Yarrowia lipolytica: one gene and its partner. The protein of the gene in region 1 purifies or fractionates together with the protein of each later gene. This does not show direct contact. Links are inferred from orthologs where the notes say so. Each region holds a gene or a part of one and is shown in the gene's direction. Other genes may lie near its edges.

What was found. The genes of interacting proteins can lie anywhere in the genome.
Region 2: the proteins of YALI1_E21430g (region 1) and YALI1_F09456g purify together in Saccharomyces cerevisiae (affinity purification with mass spectrometry; 7 studies listed by BioGRID, with this or other methods). This does not show direct contact. The link is inferred for Yarrowia lipolytica from reciprocal best matches to the Saccharomyces cerevisiae genes TAF10 and TAF4.

What each region holds. Positions count from the first base shown.
Region 1 is NC_090774.1:2,141,081-2,144,328, forward strand, and holds YALI1_E21430g (uncharacterized protein), read left to right. Parts: upstream 1-1,898; coding exon 1,899-2,714; downstream 2,715-3,248. Other genes in the region: YALI1_E21417g (uncharacterized protein), read right to left, coding at 173-594, 648-708; YALI1_E21443g (uncharacterized protein), read left to right, coding at 3,219-3,248.
Region 2 is NC_090775.1:944,109-947,409, forward strand, and holds YALI1_F09456g (uncharacterized protein), read left to right. Parts: upstream 1-1,585; coding exon 1,586-2,683; downstream 2,684-3,301. Other genes in the region: YALI1_F09481g (uncharacterized protein), read right to left, coding at 2,949-3,301. UniProt on the Saccharomyces cerevisiae protein: Functions as a component of the DNA-binding general transcription factor complex TFIID. Binding of TFIID to a promoter (with or without TATA element) is the initial step in pre-initiation complex (PIC) formation.

The sequences.
Region 1 (3,248 bases):
AACTCTGGTTGAGTCTGTAAGAATTACAGTCGGTTGAAAGTACAGTCTGGCCGTGTCTATCGGTAGTACGGACAGTCTGTGGGTCACGGACAGTCTGTTTGAGCCAGCTCTCTTCATCCGCCAATACAGAGTCGTCATCTTCCCTTCTCCCCTGGCTCTGCTCGAGTTGCACCTATCTCCGCTCTCGGCCGGCGCAGCACAGTCTCCATTTCTCGCACTGAATGGCCATCAACAATTGGAGCCTCGATTCTTGGATTTTTGTTGGTTGACTGTTTTCTGGGCGGCCAGCGGCGGAGCTGTGAAATATCAGAAAGAAAGATAAACATGTTGGCAAGGTGAATATCGTACTCGTGAGCCCAGCTGAGAATGTGGGACCATGCCAACCAGAGCTGACGGTCGAGACACGCCCAGGGACGAGCATGACCTTCGAGATTGCGTTATTCCTCTTCCACCGGATTCGTCTTCCACCGGGCGTGAAGCAATGATCTAGATCTGGTGATGTTGGGCGGTTGTCGAGAGACAACTGTTGGTATTCTGATACTGAGAGATTCGATTGTCGAGAAGGCAGAAACGGTAAACAGTTGGTGGTTAGAACTATTGAAAAGTCGGTTGAACGAGTTCAATTGTCAACCTTTCGCTTGACCAACTTCTGCTCATCATGGCCGCGAAACAGACATCAGGGTTGCGTTTGAGCACGGTACAGTACATACCGTACCATCCTGGCGATACTGGAGGACACCATTGGTTATCATGAGTCCTACCAAGTCGACAATGACAGGGGCAACTCATCAACTCAGATCATCAGATCAGATCATACATTTCTCATCTTCTGATGCCAACTGCGTGTTTCGATTGCTTGTCTCGACTGCTCTCAACGACTTCCTGTATCAGCAGCTGGTACGGAGAGTCTTGTGCTGTAATCAATCATCTTTGCTCTATCGATCGTCGTTGCTGCAATCGATCGTCTTTGCTGCAATCAATCGTCTTTGCCGTAATCAATCGTCTTTGCTGAACCAGACAGCGATGATTCAACCGACGGCCTCTAGTCGCGCCAGAGGACTGTTTGGTAAGCCCATCTTCACAGAACTAACCCACAAACCATACTCCACCTTCAAGTGGTTCTCACATGGCTTTCTGATTCTCTGGGAAAAGGAACTGTTCCAACAATAACACCTTTGCTGCTCGTATCAAGTCCATTCGCTACAACCAGCACTCAGTGTTCGGTCTGAGCTTCGGAATCACTTTGCTGCCGTCAACAAGTGGCTCTATGATAGAATGTCACAGATGACCATCTCGTCTAGATCCATTAACCGCATCTTCCAAGTCTTCACTCGTTCCTCGACCCTTGTATAGATTTTTTAAGCAGTTTGTGGATTTTACAGTCTTTTTTTTTTTCTTCTTTTTTTCTCTATGTTTTTTTCCTCCTTCTCACATTTTTCTTTCTGTTTGTCCCAACTAAATCCAAGTAAAAACATTCTTTGTAAATTCAGAAACATGCCCACAGTGGCTCAAAAACAGTATAATTCTTTGATTTAACAGCCTCAAAATTAATCCTTTCAGTTTCTCTAACCATTGACACATTTTTCGTCCGTCTAGCACCTCGAGAAGCCCGCTTTGGCACCCCCAGCGTACTTTTTCCCTTAACTATTGTTCAACTAAACAGGAACCAACCTAGTTTTGCAGACACACTGGAAATGGTAAGAAGCTCACCTACCTCGTTTCTCTCCATCTTTGTCTCTCCACATCGTCTCTCTCCACCTCGTCTCTCCCCTCGTCTCTCTCCCCACCTCGTCTCTCCTCCATTATCCACTTCTCGCCCATTTCGCAACCCTGACTAATCATTACTAAGCAAAGCTAACTTCACTCCGCACGCGCCCCACTTTGCAACCACTCTGCAAATGTCATCACCACAAGACGTGTCAATGAGCGATATCAAGGACAAGGAGCCCGAGACGACCGTCAAGACGGAGCCCGCGGAGCCCGCCGCTGCCGAAAACGACCCGCAGCCCGCCCCGACGGAAGGCGCACCAGACACAGACGCAAACAGCAAGGAGGAAGGTCCAAAAGAGGGAGGCAAAGATGGTGTTGAGGGGGATGGCGAGAAGAAGGAGACTGGAGAGAAGAACTCCGAGGACAAGGAACCAGGCGCACGGGATTCTGGAGCTTCTGGGGCTTCTGGGGCTCCTGCAGCTCCCGGAACAGAAGATGTTGACATGGAGGATGCCAATCCCGAGGAAAACGACATTGATATCGACTTTGAGCTGGAGGGACCGGCACAAGAGGAAGAGGAGACCGCACAGGTGCCGGGCCCGGTGCCGGTGACGCGCAAGGACAAGACGCTGAGCGAGTTTCTGGACAACATGAACGAGTATGCGCCCATCATTCCTGACGCGGTGACAGACTACTATCTGGCAAAATCGGGGTTCCAGACCAACGATGTGCGGATCAAACGACTGTTGGCGCTGGCGACCCAGAAATTCATCTCAGATCTGGCCTCCGACGCCTACCAGCACTCGCGCATCCGGTCGTCGTCGTCCGTGTCTTCGGCCTCCAACCCCCAGGCCCGGGCCAAGGCTCTGGTTGCAGGAGTGGGAGGCGCGCAGGTGCAGAGCAGCACATCGGGTCGGTCGAAAATTGTCCTCACTATGGAGGACTTGTCGTCGGCAAGCAGCGAGTACGGTCTCAACCTCAAGAGACCCGACTATTACAGGTAGACAGGGAATGCGCAAGCGAGGTAGAAGAGGTAGGGGGAAGGCGGAATCGAGGATACAACCAAGGAGGATATCTAGAGTATTTAGGCAATGTAACATTAAACATATCGTGAGTAGTTGAGGTGGATCCAACACCGTTCTTGCGAAGTTCTTTTTCCGGCGTTTTTCCGCATTTCTCCCTCCGAAAACGCCTTCCCAGTTGGGATACCGTTGCTTGGAGCGACTACAAGACACTACAAGAGACGTCTACTATCGAAACAAGACTCGATTTCGTCAAGTGGATCTCCAACAGGTCTCATAGAACAGGGCAGGTAAGCAGGGGGAAGCAAAAGGGTGGTGCAGGGGTGGTTGTGACGACGGGTATGTTGAACATGTTGGATCGGTTGTCGAGAGCAATCAACGGGTGAGATTTGGGGACTATAAGTATGGCGACAAGTTCCACACTGGATCACCATCTCCATCTTCAGTCTCCACTCTCTTCGAATTCATTTGACTCTCATCTCCACCATGCAGTTCAAGAACATTGCCCTCGTTGCC
Region 2 (3,301 bases), on another chromosome or scaffold:
GCATTGGCGGATTATAATGGACTTGGACGGATTAGAATGATCATTTCACGGCTACAAGTACCGTAATGCTTGATATTTAACAACAGCTGATTCTCTTCTATGAGCTATAGTAGCTACTGTATGTACAGTACATACTGTACTTACTGGTATGTTATAGTAAGAGCTTCTGGTACATAAGTACATTATGTATTCGTAGTCTATAGCGTCAATATCCTACTCGTACTGTACTTACTGTACTGTAACTACGATACTATGAGCTAACTATCAGCAGACCCTTAGAGGAATACTTATAGCTAAGGCAAGTGACAAGAATGCTCATATATTGACCAATAGTATTCAATACAGAGAAGATACAGACAATGTACCAGACGAGATCTCTTGTATGATTCAGTTAATGTCCCATAATTGGATGGTTCATAGCAGACCCATCTGGGAAGAAGATATCTGAGGGCTGATACCAGGACCTCATCATGACCAATGATAGCAGGGAGTATGTTGTGAACCAAGTCAAGTTCTGCTCCACATTGTAATCATTCACACAGCATCTACGAGTACATACCGTGTACTGTACTTCCACAGTCACCGCTGTTCCGATAAAGCTAGGAATAGACCAGGAGATGGTAAGTATAAGTATGTATGTTTTGTATGTATGTACATACTGGACAGTATGTACCAGTTCTATCAGTTACTACAGTAATTAGTCCAATCCACTCAATCACACTGGTGGTCATTTTTGGTAACCGTTGATCACTTGAAGTTGGCCATCTCACTGACCTATAGCCCGATTATCATGATGTACTCATGCCACCATGAAAGCCCAAGTAGGTACAGTCTTGCTCTCTCACTTCCACCAGTGGTATCAAAGATGAGTCACTCTTGACAATACCGCCGTTCGAAGACTTCAAGGAAGACTACGTGGTCATCCGAGGTATCGACACATGTCTCCACCAGTGTCTGTGGTATCTCACTGGGTTATCAACTATAGCTACGTTCAGTACATTACATACTTATGATGGTAAGACGTTGAACATTACGTCATGTTCACCAGCAAAGTGATATGGGAGGATGGTAGGTTACGGAAGTATATATTAGAGAAGGTTCTGGTGGCTCCAATTTGAGGGGTCCTGCAACAGTACTTTGAACCAATAAAATGGGCTGTAATTTTTCATAATTACTGATAATACCACCAAGCAGAGGTTTATCAAAAAACTGAGTGAAAATATTATCACAATGACATTCTAAGACCTCTCATAGACATACCCCCATCCTACATACAAAGAAAACCTTGATTGCTGTACAGTGTGGTATTATGTATTGTACGATACGATTCTAATAAATTGCTGTGTGAGGGAGTGCTCTAGGGATGTCTCATTGAGTATTAGCAAATCTTTTTGGGCACAAGAGCACGTTTGTTCCGTCATTCTGCTCAATCCGCCTATATAAAGCAGTTCTCTTCTCCCTCCTCTCACCGTCTCCAACATGACACAGCACCACCTCACATACTCCCAACCTGTGAAACTCTGTCCTGCCCTGTGGTGCAGGAGCAGACCAAATCACTGTGTCTAACAGCTCCTCATCCAACAACATGTCTCAACGCGACTCAGCTTCGCCACATCCGCAGGCCTCGCCGGGGATGGCCAAGCAGGAGCCCGTGCTGTTGCCCGGCCGGGAAAAGTCGCCGCCCCAGCAGCTCCAGTTCCACCAGGAGTTCCCCAACAACAGTTTCAAGCGCACTTCCACGTCGGCCATGACGCCACCAATCTCCAAAAAGCCGAAAATGGCGCCGCAGACCTTCAACAACTACAATGCGTCTAACTATGGCCAGTTCCAGGCGTCACCCATGAACTCGGGCGCAAATACACCCATTCCACAGCAACAAAACATGCCGCAGAACCAACAGACACAGAACCAACAACAGGGAGGCCCCGGCGGACAGGGACCCGGACAACCACTCGATCCTGATCAGCTCAGTGACGTCATTTCGGCGGTGGGTCTTGATCTCAAGCAGGAGGAGGCGCTGTTGCAACAGGGAGTGCCCCAGGCCGGCTACGGCATGCAGCAGCAGCAATACGGATACAGACAGCAGGGACACGCGCTGCTGGACCAGAAACGGGTGGCGTACACGGTCCGACAGCTAAGCCAGGAAGCTGGCCTGCGATTCAACAGTGATAGAGCCGGAGAAACGGCTTTGCTCATCTCGCACGCCTGTGAGGAGTGGCTCAACCAGATTCTGACTCAGGCGCTGGTTCTGTCGCGACATAGACGGCGATCGAGAAACTCGGTGCACAGTAGCCTGTCACGTGCGCTCAAGGGTATCGCTGTCAAAGACAAGGAGCGGGAGGACAAGCGAGCAGAGCGCAAGAACCTGCTGGGTCTGGATCACGCGGAACCCGAGTCTGCAGCCAACCCCGAGGACCAGCAGCACAAGGCTGCCAACATGACGGCCGCCATGATGTCTTCGGGCAAAAAGAAGTACTCGTGGATGGCAGGAGGCGTGGGAGCCAGTGCTGGAGGAATGCGAATGGGCCAGACAGGCGGAGGCAGAGGCGACTCGGCGATAAAGACACGAGAAGCCAAGGAAGAACCCGGAGTGGCCCTCAGAGATTTGCTGGGAGCCCTAGAGAAGGAGAGAGCAGGAGTGGAAAAGGCCATCGTGAAGGGCTATGCCAAGTTGAGAAATTAACCGTCAGAGGTGAGTGGTTGGTTTTGTAAAAGAGAAGTATAGCTGAAGGGCGACCATCAAAATCATTAGTGTGGATTCATTGAAGTGATTGGAGGAGGAGGATAGCTTCATCGGATAGGCTCCGTGGTTGAAAGAGGTAAAGCTTTCCAGTATGTTATGGAAAAACTTATTGACAGCAGCATAAGAGCTAGGATACAGGTATAGCAAATAACGAAATGTATATTATATGATATGATGGATGGGATTGTACAGGTACAAGTACGCGTCATAGAAACCATCTGTAGGCGAAATAGATGACTGTCCAGTTTATGACGGCGGAACCAAATATGGTCCCTATGACAATTGCATCTCTCCAGGTGAACTTCCGTTTGGGGGCCTCAAACGTCTGCTCATGTACTTTTTGTAAAATCCCTTTTCTAACGTCGAACACATACTTTTTGGCACTTCCCATGACCATGACGTACCGAGTTCCCCACCAGGGGTCCCTGTGACTCCCTGTTGATCTAAAAAGATGCTTGATCCACGAGGAGTGCCGTGCTGGAGAGCTGTTCAAGTTGGCCTGTAGACAGTAGTATTTCTTCTTACCAAAGAAGGCAAACAGTCCGTCGTAAACCACAG